Anolis sagrei: one gene and its partner. The protein of the gene in region 2 binds, or shares a complex with, the protein of the main gene of each other region. Links are inferred from orthologs where the notes say so. Each region holds a gene or a part of one and is shown on either strand. Other genes may lie near its edges. The genes, in order: NPTN and ATP2B1.

Region 1 (9,351 bases), on a different chromosome or scaffold from region 2:
TGCCATAGATGTAGGCAAAACGTCAGGAGAGAATGCTTCTGGAAATATGGCCAGACAGCCTGGAAAACACACAACAACCCAGTGATTCCAGCCGTGAAAGCCTTCAACAACCCTGAGATCATGTTTATTTTGTCGAAGGCTTTCATGGCTGGAATCACTGGGTTGGTGTAGGTTTTTCAGGCTATATGGCCATGTTCTAGAACTCACAACCTCTGAGGATGCTTGCTGTAGATGCAGGCGAAACATCAGGAGAGAATGCTTCTAGAATATGGCCATATAGCCCGAAAAACATACAACAACCCTTGTTTATTTTATTTATTTTCATGGTTTCCTTTATGAATTCCAGACAGGAAATTCAAACAGGCAGGAAGCAGCCAGGCTTTAAAGCTGCTAGAGTCTCAATGGTTCTTAACTATAAGTTCCCAGGTGTTTTGGCCTTCAACTCCCAGAAATCCTAACAGCTGGTAAACTGGCTGGGATTTCTGGGAGTTGTAGGCCAAAACTCCTGGGGAGGGGCCCACAGGTTGAGATCCACTGTAGCTAGACCAGGGGTCCTCAAACTAAGGCCCAGGGGCCGGATGCGGCCCTCCAAGGTCATTTACCTGGCCCTCGCTCAGGGTCAACCTAAGTCTGAAATGTCTTGAAAGCACCCAACAACAATCCTATCTCATCAGCCAAAAGCAGGCCTATACATCCCATTGAAATACTAATAAGTTTATATTAGTTAAAATTATTCTTCATTTTAATTATTGTATTGTTTTAAAGTGTTTTTTGCACTACAGATAAGATATCTGCACTGCGCATAGGAATTCATTCATTTTTTTCCTAATTATAATCCTGCCCACCAACAGTTTGAGGGATTGTGACCTGGCTCTCTGTTTAAAAAGTTTGAGGACCCCTGAGCTAGACAATTTAATGCTAATCAATTAAAAAATTAAATTAAATTAAAAAATTGATTGATTAGCCCAGCCACATGCACCATGGAGGACCTTCTTGCAGCAACACCAGAAGCACTCCAAGTGGCCAGAGACTGGTCAAAGGACATTTAATCAACTACCAAACTCACACATTTTGTATCTTCTCTGTTTGTTTGCTTTGTTCTGTTAGAAATGTAATACTGGCTGCCCTGAGACGAGAAATAAATAAATAAATAAAAAATTTAGAACTAAGGCTTTTGTGGCAGGAAGAAACAATCAGGGCCAGCTAACACCTCCCGACAAAAAGGATTCCCCCAGGCAGGAAGCAGCCAGGCTTTGAACCTGCAAGGCCATTCAATGCCATTCAATGCCAATCAATTCACACTTGCCTCCAGCAGAACAGAACAACCTCTGAGGGGGATGCCTGCCATAAATGTGGGCGAAACGTCAGGAGAGAATGCTTCTAGAATATGGCGATATAGCCCGAAAAACATGCCTGGGCAGGAAGAAACAATCAGGGCCAGCTAAAACCTCCTGACAAAAAGGATTCCCCCAGGCAGGAAGGAGCCAGGCTTTGAACCTGCAAGGCCATTCAATGCCAATCAAGATGACCAACATTCACCCTTGCCTCTAACATTACAACCTCTGAGGGGGATGCCTGCCATAGATGTGGGCGAAACGTCAGGAGAGAATGCTTCTGGAAATATATATATATAAATATATATGAGAAGACCGGTATACAACACTGCCAAATTAATAATAAATAAATAAATTGGGGGGGGGGGGGTTTGAAGACCCTCAAGCCCCCCCCCCTTCCCGTCTACATGCCTGGGCAGGAAGAAACAATCAGGGCCAGCTAACACCTTGCGACAAAAAGGATTCCCCCAGGCAGGAAGCAGCCAGGCTTTGAACCTGCAAGGCCATTCAATGCCAATCAATTCACACTTGGCTCCAGCAGAACAGAACAACCTCTGGGGGGGGGGGGGTGCCTGCCATAAATGTGGGCGAAACGTCAGGAGAGAATGCTTCTGGAAATATGGCTATAGCCTGAAAAACATGCCTGGGCAGGAAGAAACAATGAGGGCCAGCTAACACCTCCTGACAAAAAGGATTCCCCCAGGCAGGAAGCAGCCAGGCTTTGAACCTGCAAGGCCATTCAATGCCAATCAAGCTGACCAATTCCAACATTCACACTTGCCTCCTGGCTGCTTCCTGCCTGGGGGAATCCTTTTTGTCGGAAGGTGTTAGCTGGCCCTCATTGTTTCTTCCTGCCCAGGCATGTTTTTCGGGCTATATGGCCATATTCTAGAACTCACAGCCTCTGAGAATGCTTGCTGTAGATGCAGGTGAAACATCAGGAGAGAATGCTTCTAGAATATGGCCATATAGTCCGAAAAACATGCCTGGGCAGGAAGAAACAATGAGGGCCAGCTAACACCTCCTGACAAAAAGGATTCCCCCAGGCAGGAAGCAGCCAGGCTTTGAACCTGCAAGGCCATTCAGAAACAATCAGGGCCGGCTAACACCTTGCGACAAAAAGGATTCCCCCAGGCAGGAAGGAGCCAGGTTTTGAACCTGCAAGGACATTCAGAAACAATCAGGGCCAGCTAACACTTTGCGACAAAAAGAATTCACTCAGGCAGGAAGCAGCCAGGCTTTGAACCTGCAAGGCCATTCAGAAACAATCAGGGCTGGCTAACACCTTGCGACAAAAAGGATTCCCCCAGGCAGGAAGCAGCCAGGCTTTGAACCTGCAAGGCCATTCAGAAACAATCAGGGCCAGCTAACATCTTGTGACAAAAAGGATTCCCCCAGGCAGGAAGCAGCCAGGCTTTGAACCTGCAAGGACATTCAGAAACAATCAGGGCCAGCTAACACTTTGCGACAAAAAGGATTCCCTCAGGCAGGAAGCAGCCAGGCTTTGAACCTGCAAGGCCATTCAGAAACAATCAGGGCTGGCTAACACCTTGCGACAAAAAGGATTCCCCCAGGCAGGAAGCAGCCAGGCTTTGAACCTGCAAGGCCATTCAGAAACAATCAGGGCCAGCTAACACCTCCTGGCAAAAAGGATTCCCCCAGGCAGGAAGGAGCCAGGCTTTGAACCTGCAAGGCCATTCAATGCCAATCAAGCTGACCAACATTCACACTTGCCTCCAGCAGAACAACCTCTGAGGATGCTTGCTGTAGATGCAGACGAAACATCAGGAGAGAATGCTTCTGGAAATATGGCCATATAGCCCGAAAAACATGCCTGGGCAGGAAGAAACAATCAGGGCCAGCTAACACCTCCTGACACAAAGGATTCCCCCAGGCAGGGAGCAGCCAGGCTTTGAACCTGCAAGGCCATTCAATGCCAATGAATTCACACTTGCCTCCAGCGGAACAGAACAACCTCTGGGGGGGGGGGGGATGCCTGCCATAAATGTGGGCGAAATGTCAGGAGAGAATGCTTCTGGAAATATAGCCAGGCAGCTGGGAACACTCAGAGCGACCCATACATAGCATTATATAATATGAATCATGCCAGTCTCCTTGGGGGCAAAGTCACAATGTGGAGGGCTTCCCCAGACTCCCCTTGGTGGGGTCCCCAAAGGGGCGCCCTGACCTCCCCTCAAGGCCCGCCTCCTCCCCCGCCAGCGCCTGTCAATCACCCCCTCAGAGAGGCCCTCCCCGCCATGGCCGCCTCTCTCTCCTGCCTTCCTTCTTTCCCTCCCTCACCGTTCTGGGCGCCGGTCGGCGTCGGGAAAAGGCTGCCTGCCGTCGCCAAGAGGAAGGAGAGAGCCGCCGGGAGCGGCCCGCATCGCCGCCGCCGCTGCATCATCATCATCATCGGGAGGCTGGAAAGGACGACGCCGGAGAAGGCGAGAAGGAGGAAGGCGAGGAGCCAAGGAAAGAGAGGCGCCCGCTCTCCCCCTCAGGGCTGTTCTACCGCAGCGCCGGAGCCTCGCGAGAACTGCGCCCCCACCTCTCGCGAGAAGCACCAACACCATCCAATAAATAAATAAAGGAATAAGGAGATGCGGGAGAAGGAGGAGGAGGAAGGGGGCGGGGCCTGGCCAGGGGAAGCCACGCCCCTTCTCGCCCTCTCCCGCCCGCCCAGCCTCACCGTGTCACGTGACAGCTCCTTCAGCAATGCGGGTTCAAGGCTTCTTCTTCTTTTTTTTTGGAATGCGAAAAATCCGGGTTGATCTAAAACGGATCCGAGATTCCCCCCCTTACACTGCATTAGATGCTCATTGTAGACACCAAGAATGCACTGCAAGGCAGTTAAGCAGCATTACATGGGGCTGCACTGTCATACACATGCATTATTACCTCTGCTATGTATTTTTATTAGTATTACATTGTAGATTTTATGTATTATATTAGTATTTGTATTATGAGTGTTGCATTACCTATTATATGTATTGTATTAGCATTAGTATGAATTATTACTATTACATTCCATATTAAATGTATTATATTTGTATTACTATGTATTATTAGTATTACATTCCATAATATATATATTATATTCATATTCTCATTAGTATTAGTATGTATGTATTATTACCATTTGTATATATAATTAGTATTACATTACCTATTATATGTATTATACTACTATTAGTATGTATTATTACTTATATGTATTATATTAGCATTAGTATGTATTAGTATTACATTCCATATTAAATGAATTATATTTGTATTATTATATATTATTAGTATTACATTACCTATTATATGTATTATATTAGCATTAGTTTGTATTAGTATTACATTCCATATTATATGTATTATATTCATATTAGTATGAATTATTAGTGTTACATTCCATATTATATGTATTATATTCATATTTATATGTATTATGAGAATTATATTCCATATTAAATGCATTATATTAGTATTGGTATGTATTATTAGTATTACATTCCATATTATATGTATTATATTCATATTAGTATGAATTATTAGTATTACATTCCATATTATATGTATTATATTCATATTTATATGTATTATGAGAATTATATTCCATATTAAATGTATTATATTAGTATTGGTATGTATTATTAGTATTACATTCCATATTATATGTATTATATTAGCATTACTATGTATTATTAGTATTACATTCCTTATTATATGCATTATATTCATATTTATATGTATTATGAGAATTATATTCCATATTAAATGTATTATATTAGTACTGGTATGAATTATAAGTGTTACATTCCATATTATATGTATTATACTAGTATTAGTATGTATTATTAGTATGACATTCCATATTATATGTATATTAGTATTAATATGCATTATTAGTATTACATTCCATATTAAATGTATTATATTCGTATTAGTATGTGCTATTAGTATTACATTCCATATAATATGAATTATACTAGTATTAGTATGTATTATTAGTATTACATTACACATTATATGTATTATATTCGTATTAGTATGCACCGAGTGTGCCAGTGACCACTGGGACCACCTGGACTGGTTTATGCCAGAGCCTTTGCAGTTCGATTTTAAGGTCTTGATAGCGGCTGAGTTTTTCCTGTTGCTTTTCCTCAATGCGACTGTCACCCGGTATGGCGACATCAATCATCCAGACTTTTTTCTTTTCCACAATCGTGATGTCTGGCGTGTTGTGTTCCAAAACTTTGTCAGTCTGGATTCAAAAGTCCAACAGTATTTTTGCGTGTTCATTTTCCACTCCCTTTGTAGGTTGATGATCCCTTTACCAGTTCTTGACTCCTGGCAGGTGGTACTTGTGACATTAGTTCCAGTGAATCATTTGGCCCACAGAGTTGTGCCTCTGTTTGTAGTCCGTCTGTGCAATTTTCTTGCAGCAGTTGTGGAGATGATCCATGGTTTCATCAGCTTCCTTGCACAGTCTGCATTTTGAGTCATCTGCTGATTTTTCAATTCTGACCTTAACTGCATTTGTTCTGGTGGTAGTGGTGGTGGTGGTGGTTGTTGTTGTTGTTGTTATTATTATTATTAGCCTTCTCTGTTAAAGAGTACAGGAGCCACACCAAACTGTAACTTCCAGGATTCGGTAGCATTGAGCCATAGCAGTTGAAGTGCTGTCAAACTGCATTAATTATCCGGTGTAGATGCATCTTTTGAGTTACAGATATATATTTGGGCTAAATCAGAATCCAACAGCAGGTGGCGCAGATGGGCTCCTTGAGTTCAGAGGAGAGGATTCACACTTGAAATAATATGCTGAGCAAAAGAAAGAGAAATATTCCTGTATGAGGAATTGATAGGACTGCATAGTATAGCAGAATGAAAGCTTTGGAAAGGACTGCAAGGATTACGTACTCCAAGTCCCTGCTGTACAGGAACATATATAAATACAGGCATTCCAAAATCCCCCAAACTGATGCAGTTCGACATGGCTTTCTTTGTATCGGCTCAATGCTCTGGCATCCTGGGATTTGTAGTTTGGCGAGGCAACAAAGACCTTGTAAACTACGACTCCCATGGTTGCATAGAATTGAACCAAGACAGGTAAAGTAGTGAAAAATTGCATTAATTCTACAACGTAGAGGCACCCCTACACTTCTGGTACCAAGAATTTTGGATAAGGGATACTCAACCTAGCGCCCAGACACGCATCAAGGAACATGAAAGGCACTGCAGACTACTTCAACCAGAGAAGTCAGCCATAGCAGAGCACCTGATGAACCAGCCTGGACACAGCATATTATTTGAGAACACAGAAATGCTGGACCACTCTCACAGCCACCATGTCAGACTACACAGAGAAGCCATTGAAATCCACAAGAAGCATGTGGACAATTTCAACAGAAAGGAGGAAACCATGAAAATGAACAAAATCTGGCTACCAGTATTAAAGAACTCTAAAATTATAACAGCTAAACAACAGAGAGGAAGAAACCAGGCACAGATTAACACCTCCCAGCAACAGATTTTCCCAGGTTCAGGCAGGCCTTCAAATGCTAATGAAGGTGATTAGCTAAACATTCACACCTAACTGCAGCAGGGAAGAACTCCTTGCCCCACCCCAGCCATTCCACAGATATATAAACCCATTGTCCTAATTCCAACAGACCTCTACCTCTGAGGATGCTTGCCATAGATGCAGGCGAAACGTCAGGAGAAATGCCTCTAGAACATGGCCATATAGCCCGAAAAAACCCACAAGAACTGAGATACTCAACCTGTTTATTACCCACAGCCATTGTTCTGTGGTGTCTCGCAGGATAGAGTATTGTCCCCCATGTTGTTTAACATCTACATGAAGCCATTGGGTGAGATTATTGGGGGTTTTGGAGTTCGATGGTATCTGTATGCAGATGATATCCAACTCTATTACTCCTTTTCCAGTAGATGCTAAGGAGGCTGTCCAGGTCCTGAACTGGTGCCCGGCCGCTGTGACAGTCTGGATGAGGGCGAACAAACTGAAGTTGAATCCAGACAAGATAGAGGCACCCCTGGTCAGTCGCAAGACCGAACAAAGTTAAGGGTCTCAGCCTGGGCTGGATGGGGTTACACTCCCCTTGAAGACAGTTTGGGGGTCCTCCTGGATTTATCGCCAAGCCTGGAGTCTCAGTTTGTGGTGGTGGCTGAGGGGAGTTTCGCACAATTAAAACCTGTGCGCCAGCACCTTGCGAAGTCAGCTTTGGCCGCGGTGGTCCATGCTCTCATTACATCCAGGATAGATTACCGCAATGCATTCTACATGTAGTTGCCCTTGAAGACTGTTTGGAAGCTTCAACTAGTCAAATGAAAGGCAGCCAGGTTAATAACTAGGGCGGCATACAGGGAGCATACAACTTCCATGTTGCGTCAGCTCCAATGGCTGCCGGTTTGCTAGCGGGCACATTTCAAAGTGCTGGCTTTGGCCTATTAAGCCCTAAATGGCCTCGGACCTGTTTACCTGTCCGAACGCATTTCCCTTTTTGAACCACTGTGGAAACTAAGATCTTGTGTGGAGGAACTGCTCTCAGTCCCATCACTATCACAGGTGCGTTTGGTGGGGACGAGTGGCAGGGCCTTCTCAGTGATTGCCCCCCGGTTATGGAACTTCCTTCTTGGCAATATGAGATCAGCCCCCTCTCTCCTATCCTTCAGAAGGGTAGTGAAGGCCTGGCCTTTGGGGCAGGGCAAGGAGGCAAAAGGGTGTCCTGAGATAGTTTTTAAACAACCGATTTTAATGTGGATATACCGTATATACTTGAGTATAAGCTGACCCGAATATAAGCCGAGGCACCTAATTTTACCACAAAACTCTGGGAAAACATATTGATTTGAGTATCAGCCCAGGGTGAGAAATGCAGCAGCTACTGGTCAATTTCAAAATAAAAAGAGATACCAATAAAATTATGTTATTTTTTAAAATACTTTTCATTGAATTTTTTGGTGAATGTAATAAAAGAATATATATATAAAAGAATATATATATAAAAGAATATATATATAAAAGGACATATATATATATTGAGGCATCAGTAGGTTATATTCAAAAAATAGGCATCAGTAGGTTGAATATTTACATAAAACTAATTTAAGACTGTCCGATTCTGATGAAACCATTATTCTCACCTTAAGACTGTCCAACTCTGATGAAACCATTATTCTCACCTTCTTCAATGTAAATGTACTTACACATCCTTCCAATAATAATAGAGTAAAATAATAAATGTAATATTAAGAGTAAAACAATAAATGGAATAAAACAATAGTAAATACGGTAAAATAATAAGAGTAAAATAATATATATAAATAAAAATGTAATGTTCGTTTGTGGGATTAACATAACTCAAAAACCACTGGATGAATTCACACCAACACCTACAATCAAAGAGCATTCTGAACTCCAGCAATGATGGAAATGAACCAAACATGGCATACAGGACTCCCATGACCAACAGAAAACACTAGATGGGTTTGGTAGGCATTGGCCTTCAGCTCGGGAGTTGTAGTTCACCTAAATCCAGAGAGCACTGTGGACTCAAAAAATGATGGATCTGTACCAAACTTGGCACAAATATTCCATATGCCCAAATATGAACACAGATGGAGTGTGGGGGAAATAGACCTTGACATTTGGGAGTTGTAGTTGCTGGGATTTATAGTTCACCTACAATCAAAGAGCATTCTGAACCCCACCAACAACAGAATTGGGGCAAACTTCCCACACAAAACCCCCATACTTAAGGCCATCCAGTCCAACTTCTTCACCAGGGCAAGAAAATGTAATCAAAGCCCTCCTGACAAAGAGCCATCCAGCCATAGATATAGATAGATAGATATGATTCACACAGAGAGAGATATAGTATTACAGATTTGAAAGGGACCCCTAAAGAAGGACAATGATACGTTGCGTGTTCCAGAGAAGGCAAACTAGACACTCTCCACATCAACACTGACAAAGAAACAGCAAGAAATACTGTTTACCTAC
Region 2 (9,963 bases):
CATGGAAAACTGTGCTAAGCAGTAGCACAACTATGTTTGCCAAAGCGAAATGTTTTACACTAGCCTCAAAACATACAGAGACCAGGGGTCCCAATAATCTTCAGAAGAGATCTATAATAAACACTGCACACCTGGACAGTCATTATCCTATACAATTAATTACAGAGCTTTCATCTTTAGGTTAAGAGGCATGAATACTAGTTGTCAGACATGATGAATTTATCAGTTTAGCCCTGGATATGACCGATAAATAGCTTCACTACTCTTGCTCCACAGCCTTAAAGAACCTGAAAGCTATTCTCCTACATGGTAAAGGATGTTAGATCTCTTTTCTGACTAGTATATCCTATATTTTAAACATATTTAATTTACTGTTCGCTATTATACACTGACTTTGCCTCATTCCAAAATGTCTTGCTATTGCTGAGCAGCAAAATAAATTATAATGTATAAATTATAATTATAATGTTCTATTGGCACACATTTCAAACTCCTTTCAATTTCCAACTATTAGCCACAGTATAAGGTTAGATCCTAATGAGTATAATGGCTGTAAGTGTGTGCTTCTGGAACATACATGTTCCTATGATATCCCTTTCCACATACATAGACTGAAGGCTTGCATTCCTTCTAGTCACAATTAGTTTAAATATATTGTCAATAACTTATGTTTGTGTACCACACCGTTCAAAGGCTTCTCAACAAGATACATTGCAGAACATATCTAGAGCATTCGCCTTTCATGACATAGCAGTATTTTGTATTTATAGTTCACATGAACTTTACATGCTAATTTATGTCATCGCCATGTGCCTTCAAGTAATTTTGGACCCTATCACAGAGGTTGTTTCTGCAATATTTGTTCAGGAGAGCTGTCCAATTGTCTTCCTCTGTTTATCCCAAAATTCCAAACTGGGTGAAGGCTAATATAACAGTGACATGTATAAGGAAAATAAGTGTGTATACAGAAATAAGATGCATTATGCTACATCAACTGTTTAAAAGCCAAGCAACCCAAATTTGGATATTAGTTATTTACAATGAAAAATATAAAATGTGTTAGTCTGTGTGTCAATGAAATCATTGTTATACTCCACATATAATAGCTCATACTTTTTAAATTTACCTTTCTCAGTAGATGAAAAGACCTGTGGCACAGACAAAATGACAACTACTCAGAACATTTTAAAACATATTTGGATCAAAGGCACAGGCCAAGAAGAGAGAAATATTTCAGCTAAGCACTTCCTACCTTGTTTTAGTGAAACTGTATAATTCTTACATTAGGAGCTACAACACATATTAGAAACACCAAGGTCAGACACTCCCAACTTTTATCAGTTCCTATTAATGTTGCTGTCCAATACCACAGCCTTAAATGTTAAATGTGCCCGCTGTTTATGAGATGAATGTATGAAGGTATTCTCATTTAGCCATCTTCCAAGTACCATTTTATATAGGCACTGCTGGAGAGAAGTATGAAGTACAGCCAGCAACAGTCACTCTCCACCTCACCCCTCATCATACTCCCTTCCTCCTGAACTCCTGGTGCTGAAACAACCAAAGGTATGGAGTACCACTTGGCCTGCAGTAAAGACACGAGGCTCATGAGATCCAAAGGAATACATCACCCAAAAGCTGTTCTGATACACACTCCCTAGCCCAAGCTGCATTCATCTGGGGACGCAGCTGACATCCCTTATCAGAGTTCATAACAGCAATACACTTCGGCGCGCATATGTGCATACCTCCACACAGCAAACAGACTTACTGCAACCTCATGCATTCTCACAGGGTTTTACTTAGCCAGTTTATAAAGCACATCAACCCTTTGACGAACCAGTGAGAGAGTAGTCATGCAGAAAAGAGGGGAAGCATAGCCATCCCCCTGCTTTTAAAAATTATTCTCATGCCTTCCTGAGTGTGGATGGCGCAAGAGGCTCAGAAGGTGGGAGAGGAAAGCCACCCCTTTCTCTTTATTCTGACTGCCCTGGAGACCTGAATTCAAGGCTCAGACGTCCATTTCCAGAACCCTTTATATGCACAGCTGAGAAAACCAGTGTCTAGCTCCTGGATAGGAGGAGAGATACTGTATGTACACACTGTGTGTGCATGTAAGCATGTGTGTGTGTGTATAGTCCCTGTGGTGTGTGTCTTTATATATGACATATATGTGCTAAATATACATACACACCAGGGATTTCAATGTGTTCTCTCTCTCCCTAATATATAATCCCAGGTATATATATGTTTACATATATACATATGTGTGGGTGCTATACACACACACACACACACACCAGGCATTTCTACATGTTTTCTCTCTCTAATATAGAATCTCAGCTATGTGTGTGTGTTTACATATTTACAGGTGTGGGTGCTATACACACACACACACACACCAGGTATTTCTATGTGCTTTCTCTCTAATATATAATCCCAGTTATATGTGTGCTTCCACATATACATATGTGTGGGTGCTATACACAAACACACCAGGTATTTCTATGTGTTTTCTCTCTCCAATATAGAATCTCAGCTATGTGTATTTACATATGTATATGTGTGGGCGCTATATACACACACCCCAGGTATTTCTATGTGTTTTCTCGCTAATATATGATTCCAGCTATGTGTGTGTATTTACCTATGTACAGGCACTACATATATACACAAACAGCAGGTTGTTCTCTCTCTCTCTCTAGTAATCCTGTAGATATGTTTGGATGGTATATACATACATACATATACACACACACAAGGTATTTCTATCTGTTCTCTCTCAAATATATAATCCCAGCTACGTGTATTTACATGTGTACAGGTAGTATCTATCTGTCTATACATACATACACACACACACACCATTTCTGTTTCCTCTCTAATATATAATCCCAGCTGTGTGCGCGCGTTTACATATGTACATATGTGTGGACGACAGCCACACACCAGGAATTTCTGAGTGTGCTCTTTCTATATATATACATATATGTGTGTTTGTGTGCGTGTGTATGTGAATATAATAAACTCCCGAGGCTGTTGGGGATGAGAATGCCGTGCAGCAGCGTCCGCCTAATCCCGGCTACTTAACCCAGCAGACCCAAGAAACACCTTCACCGGCGGGGGTCTTCCGAAGAGGAAAAATAATGCGCACCTGGGGAGGGGGAGGGGGGTTAAAAAGGGGGGTTGGTTGGGGAGACCAGAAAGGGCAACCTACCAGTCCCCACATCCATTCCCCCTTCCTTCCTCTCCCTCCGTTCCCTTCCTCCCTCCTTCCAGGTGGAGGCAAGTGGCTGCCCTCAAGGTCACACACCGCGGCGTGGGCTCCCCGTGGCCCACTGAGGAAGAGGAAGAGGAGGCGGTGGGGAGAGGCGAGGAGGCGCAGGCCCTGCTGCACCGGCGGGGGCTGCTCATCCTCCTCCTCCTCCTCCTCCGCTTTGGCTAATCCCCGCGGGGCCTGCGGACTCCACCACCTGCGCCTCTCTCTCTCTCTGTGTCTCCGAGGGAGCCCCAACCCGACGCCGCCCTCCGCGCCCTTCCTCTCCCTTCGCCTCAGCCATGCTTACCTCAGGTTCCTCCACGCGCTGCTTCGCCTTGCCTTGCCTCGCCTCGCCCGACCAAACAAGCAACCAACCAACCGCAGGTCCCCCCCACCCCACCCCGGAGCGAGCGCCCGAGCCGCCGCCGCCGCCGAGCCCGCCTGCGACCGGGGAGGGAGGGCGGGCGGAGGAGGGAGGGAGGAGAGAGGAAGGCCCCGCCCTCGGCAGCAGGCTCCCCCGCCAAAGCGCCTCCGCCTCGCCCTCGCCAGCCCTGCGAGGCGGCGTCCTTTTGCCCCCCTCTCAGGACCCGTACAGAAGCGCCGGCTCTTCCTCGCCGCCTCCAGCCACCAAAGGGGGGCGGGGCCACCTCTACCTCCACCTCCCACGCGCAAGGGGAACAAGGGGTCGCTCCAACCCACTCCACTCACTTCTGCGCCTCTGTTTTTTTTTCTTCTTCGCCCACCTCAGGCAAGGTTCCGAGCGTGGCCCAGTCGGCGTCACGTGACAGGGTCGGCGGAGGAGGGAGCCCCTCGAGGGCGTGAGGAGAGAGGAGGAGGAGGAGGGGCGGGGGAGCGAGAGAGAGAGAGAGAGAGCGCGAGCGAAAGGGGCGGGGTTTGGGATTGGTGCCCGAGAGGGGCGGGGCCCGCTCCTCTCTCCCCGCCTCCTTCCCCTCTTCCGATTGGCTGCCGTCGCCTGACGTGCTTGTTTCCATGACGTCAGTGGGCCGGGCCCAGGCATTTGATGGGGCCCGGCGGGCTTCGGGTCGTTGACTTTGCTGGGAGCGCGGTGAGGGGGGCGCTCTCCCTCCTTGTCTCTCTCTCTCTCTCTCGCTCCTTTGCCGTGGCTTGACCACGCTCCCACTCGCCCCCGCCCCACGGCAAGAGCGGGGAACGCTCGCCAGCAGAGCGCGCCGTCGGTTTCTATCAGCGCGCGCGTGCTCATATGAGGGCGCGCGGGGTGGGTGGACGGGGGGGGGGGGGAGGAAGGTAGGAGTTGGTCACTTCGTGGACGGAAAGCCTTCGGGGTCAAACGACTACAAACGCGCAAATCCCTGAAAAGCACGGCGGCGGCAGCTCCTGTCAGCACGCAAGAAGGGGTGGGGGAGGGGCAAAGACAGGGCTTGGGGGCTCCTTCCCCCTCAGGCCTCCCTGAAGGAAACGGAGGAGCTTCCCTTCTCCCCCCACCCACCCCATCGCGCGGGGGGAGCAGCTGGCGTCTCCCCTCCGTCAGAACCGAGATGACGAATCGCGGCGTGTTGAGTCATGGCCTCGCCTTCCCGAGTAGGACGTAAGAACCCCGCGGAGGGCAGCCTGCTGGAGCCAGCCTCGTTCAGGGTCCGTCTACGTCAGGCATGGGCAGACTTGGGCCCTCCCTCCCTCACTCCCTCCAGGTGTTTTGGACTTCAACTCCCACCATTCCTCTCAGACTCAGGCCCCTTCCTTTCCCCTCTCAGCCGCTTAAGGTCTTCCAAGTGGTGTCAAACAGCATTAATTCGACAGTGTGGGTGCACTGTCAGGCAGGTTTAATGCCCAGCAACGTCAGTGAGAAGCGTAACCGTTTACACTCAGAGACGCCACTGAACAGTAAAAACACTCAATTCTGGGGTTCTCCCCAAAGGTTTGGAACCAGAAGTGTTTGGGATTTTTCACTCATATTTTGCATATATGTATACACCCACACACATGGCCCCGGTGGCACGTATTGCTGACCGAAAGGTCGGTGGTTTGAATCCGGGGAGCAGGATGAGCTCCTGCTGTTAGGCCCAGCTTCTGCCAACCCTGCAATCCAAAAACATGCAAACGTGAGTAGGTTGTTATAGGTTTTTCGAGTTGTATGGCCATGTTCTAGAAGCATTCTCTATTGGAGTTTTGCCTGCATCTCTGGCAAGCATCCTCAGAGGTTGTGAGGATGCTTGCCACAGATACAGGCAAAACATCAGGAGAGAATGCTTCTAGAACATGGCCATACAGCCCGTAAAACCTACAACAACCCAGTGATTCCGCACATTCGACAATACATCAAATGTGAGTAGATCAATAGGTACCGCTCTGTGGGAAGGTAACAGATAAAAGGCCTCAACTTGTGCTTAGGGAGAACGAAGCTACTTCATCAGATTTATTTTTATTTATTTACCATATTTGTATCCCGCCTTTCTCACTGCAGAGGGGACTCAAGGTGGCCTTACAACAGGCAGCAATTCAATGCCATACAGAACATATAACAAATAAACCATTACAATTAAAACCAAAAAATTAAAACAGGAATAATTAAAGCATTAATTAAAATCGCGCCATCCGAAATATAATCCAGGGCCATTCCATTTGTCAATCAGATTGATTCGTTGTCTCTTACTGCACTGCTCTAATTATTTGTCAAAAGCTTGGTCCCAAAGCCACATCTTGAGTTTTTTTCCTGAAGATCAAGAGAGAAGGAACAGATCTGATTTCGTTGGAGAGGGAGTTCCACAGATGAGGGGCCACCACTGAGAAGGCACCGTTTAGTCCCCACCAGTCGTGCCTGCAAAGGAGTTGGGACTGAGAGCAGGGCCTCCCAGGACAATCTTAACCTCTGAAATGGTTCATAGAGGAAGATACATTCGGACTCGTAAGCTGGGCCAGAACTGTTTGGGGCTTTATAGTCTAAAACCAGCACTCAGTAGCAGACTGGCAGCCAGTGGAGCTGGTGTAATGGGGTTGTGTGCTCCCTGTACCCCAGTCTGCCTCCCGGCATTGGACCACTTGAAGCTTCCAAACAGTCTTAAAAGGCAACCCAACATAGAGTGCGTTGCAGTAGACTATTTGGGATGTAACCAGATGTATCTCCTGCAATCTGACCTAGAAGTGTTGGCAGTTCATTGAGTAAGTTTGTTAAAACATATGCTTCCTATAGTGATTTTACATTGTTTCTCAGCGAGTCCTAGCCTTCTGGTACTTAAGCAAAACCTCCTTAGATCCCTAATTTTCTTAAAGGATAAGATGAATTTTTGCAGTCACGGTTTTATATAAAGAATACTGCATTTTGAAATATTCATGTTTTTCTGCAGAAGTTTTTCTGCAGGTAAATTAGATGGTTTCTCACAAATATGAATATGAATATTTTTTCTCATTACAGAAATGAATGAAAGAGCTGTGTCATACAATCAAATATAAGAAAGTATTATTGATATTTTTTAAAATCCTTTATTCCCTTTGATCCTACTGATAATGCAAAAGAAGGGGAAATGCCACTAAAAAAACCCAGCACTACTCCCTATTAAATTAGGCATTAGGCAATATGAGAATGGATAATAATTACCTGAATGTTCAAAACTGATCTGTCAGATTCATAGTGAACTAGAATGAAAACATTCCAGTAGAGAGCATAGAACAGGTTGTTGTGTACCTCCAAGTATTTTTTTACTTTTGCCTAACAGTGTTCTTGGCAAAAATTGTTTAGAGGGGCTTGCCTTTGCCTTCCTCTGAGGCTGAGAGAGTGTAACGTGACCAATCTCATATATTTCCATGGCTAAATGGGGATTCGAACCCTGGCCTTCAGAGTGATAGTCCAACTCGCAACGACATCTGGCTGGTTCAATCTTAGTCTTACATCAATATGTGGGAGCTAACATGAATATAGTATTAGGACTCTGGGAGACCAGAGTTTGGATGCTTGCTCAGCCATCAAAATCACTTGCTGACTTTGGACAAATCAACTTGAACTCAGAGAAAGGCAACCCCACTTTGAACAAATCTTTTCAAGAAATCCTCATGACATGTTCATTTTAGGGTGGACATAATTTATAAGTAATTCAGAACAGCAGCAGCAACAACACAGAAGAAACTAAAAAAAACTGTAATGTACAATCTAGCAAAGTTGCATGTGTTCATACATCAAAACTAATATTTAAAAAGTTGATGAGCAAGCCCAAACAAACCTGCTGTTTTGTTTTCTGAGCTTATCATCCTATCTTCTTCAGTTCAATCATAAATCTGAGTCTGGTGCAGTTAGGCATACTTAAGCCTGTAAACTGCAGTGGCCTAAATCCAATAGCTAATCCCAATTTAAGTGGGCCCATTGAATTAATGTAGCTTATTTTAGTATTTTATTAAATTCCCACTGTGTCAGTATGTCTAGCAAGAATTAATTGGATTGAGGCCAATGAGTTTAAAGATGGCTAATTCAATTGGACTTGGGCCTCAGTTAGACCATTTCCTTTTGCATTGTATCTATACATACAATATGGCATCTGTGACTGTTCAAGGCCATTGTGCTGTGAAGGAAGAGCAAGGCAAGCTTCTGCTGAGCTGTAGGGTCTGAGTCCCTATAAACAAATGAATCTAAAAGATCTTATCAGTTCAGTTATTATTGCTATATTATTCTTTGTTTGGCTTGGTCTCATGCTCTGTCACTCTTGTTTGACATAAGTTTGACACTTTAAAAAGTCTTTCATTGAAGAATGCAATCAGACAGGAGGAACCACTGCAATATTCGTTTCCTGACTGAATGCAGCTAAGTATTACCTCACAGTTGATATATTTAGGTCAATTGAAAAAAATCAAAACAATGAAACAGATGCATCCTGCAGACTAAATTATGGGATTTTCTTGCATGCCTTCCCAGTATGAATAAAATACATCCTCAGATCATGCAAAATTCTTTTTCAATCCCTCTGCAGCTCGGTGTTCTCATTTGTACTGGCCATTGTAACTCAGCAAGCCTTCCCCAACATTTGAAAACTGCATTTGAAGAAACAGTTTTCTGACTCAAGCAGATGTGTTCCACTCACATCTTCTAGTTGCCAGATATTTTCTTTTTCCTTTCCACTGGAAATAATAACAAAGAGTGTGATGGCAACTTAAAGGCTAACCATTTTTATGTGACATAAGATTCTATGGACAGCAGCCCATTTTATAAAATGTTATAGTATAAAATGTTGACTTATTTAGCAGGTATTTATGCACATGCTTCAGTGGACATGTTCAAATGCGAAAGATACAAACATTGCTAAGTGTTTGAACAATAGTGCTTTTAGAAGTTGTTCTTAATGACAATAGAGAATCCTAGTGTAGACAAACAGATTAAAATAGTGATGGGGACAGTCTTTGTGCAATCCATAGAACATAATGGAAATAATTAAGCTTTTTACCCACTCCCTCAAAGAGAAAGAAGATAAATAATTGGCATACATAATTTCTCTACCAGAGGCCATAAGTAAAAGGATGACTTCTTAAGAGGCTTTAAATGTAATGACATAACCTGAATATAAAGGTGAATTATTATTTACCTGCACCATAGAGGAGTCTGTAAGTTTTGGTTATATGCTGTTCCACATTTTGACAAGGCAATTTTAGGTTACAGAGTAAACTTTGGAGCTGCTTTTCAGTGATCAGATCTACATTGATTAAAGCAATTTGTTTACCATGTATCTAAGTACAATGTAGAACATTGTAGAAACAAAAAACAAATCCTATATGTTTTTATATGCAGTAAACCCCACTCCTATCAAGTGATGTATTTGTATTGTGAGGAATTTTGTAGCAGAACTCTACAGAGACATTCAGATAATGAAACCATAGCCACAGGAGTCTTAATTGCCAAAACTTTACTCCTATTTAGTTCATCTTAACAAGTAATCTAGAACTGTATATGTCTTGCCAATAAGTAAGATTTAAGAAAAATAGTAGAGATTAGTTGTGCAAATCAGTACAAATCCTTTCTTAAGCTTAGTACAGAAACAGTGCTTATACATCTGCACTTTTAAAGACATTCCCTTCAGTATTTCTGATGTGAACTTGTAATCATATTATAAAATCTGGAAGAAAAAGTGCTATCAGATTAATTTGACAAGGTTGCCTCAGCCTTCTTTTATTACTTCTTTATTACCCTGCAACGGTGGGCAGAGAAAAGGGTTTATCACATAATGCTTTCCTCTTGAGAAGGTGGGAGTAGAGATTACTGTCTTCATGTTAGTTTCTTGTCAGCAAGAATAGTTTGCCATAATTAATTGCTACATGAAGTAATTTACTCCTTTTCTGAGCTAAGTGGGTCTCTAACAGTCAAAATGCCTCTTGCAATGTCTCCTGGGGAGGTACACTATGCTAAGAAGCATAGTCTCCAGGAAACTCTGTTACAAATACAGATAGGGTCCCCCTTATCTGAAATGCTTGGGACCATACATTTTTCAGATTTCAGGTGTTTTGGCATTTGGAATACGTATGAATGAAGGAAAGGAGGCTAGTCCAACATCTGCTGCATCTCTCCTGAAGTAACCCTGACAGGGGAAAGAGAAAAGGGGGAAGGCGAGAGGACTTCACTTATGAAAAGACCCTTGTAAAAAAAAACCAGACATTTTCCTAGCTGTCAGCACACTTTCTGCCATTTTAGCAAAGTAGCCAGGAAGGGAGGGGGAAATGCTTTCTCCCTTATTATTCTTTTTAATTATCTC

The links.
Region 1: the proteins of ATP2B1 (region 2) and NPTN are in contact, whole or in part, in a cryo-EM structure (PDB 6A69), measured with the Homo sapiens proteins. The link is inferred for Anolis sagrei from reciprocal best matches to the Homo sapiens genes ATP2B1 and NPTN. Residues at the interface, in NP_001353449.1 of Homo sapiens: Phe954, Asp955, Ile956, Asp957, Glu996, Arg997, Asn998, Val999, Glu1039, Gln1040, Leu1042, Trp1043, Ile1045, Phe1046, Met1049, Gly1050, Leu1052, Leu1053, Gln1056; in NP_036560.1 of Homo sapiens: Arg245, Ser246, Asn248, Arg332, Arg334, Pro339, Pro342, Phe343, Gly345, Ile346, Glu349, Ile350, Ile352, Leu353, Ile356, Ile357, Tyr360.

What each region holds. Positions count from the first base shown.
Region 1 is NC_090029.1:30,878,817-30,888,167, reverse strand, and holds the start of NPTN (neuroplastin), read right to left. Parts: upstream 3,887-9,351; 5' UTR 3,748-3,886; coding exon 3,636-3,747; intron 1-3,635. UniProt on the Homo sapiens protein: Probable homophilic and heterophilic cell adhesion molecule involved in long term potentiation at hippocampal excitatory synapses through activation of p38MAPK. May also regulate neurite outgrowth by activating the FGFR1 signaling pathway.
Region 2 is NC_090025.1:153,215,933-153,225,895, forward strand, and holds the start of ATP2B1 (plasma membrane calcium-transporting ATPase 1), read right to left. Parts: upstream 4,134-9,963; 5' UTR 3,968-4,133; intron 3,672-3,967; exon of another isoform or gene 3,567-3,671; intron 1-3,566. UniProt on the Homo sapiens protein: Catalyzes the hydrolysis of ATP coupled with the transport of calcium from the cytoplasm to the extracellular space thereby maintaining intracellular calcium homeostasis.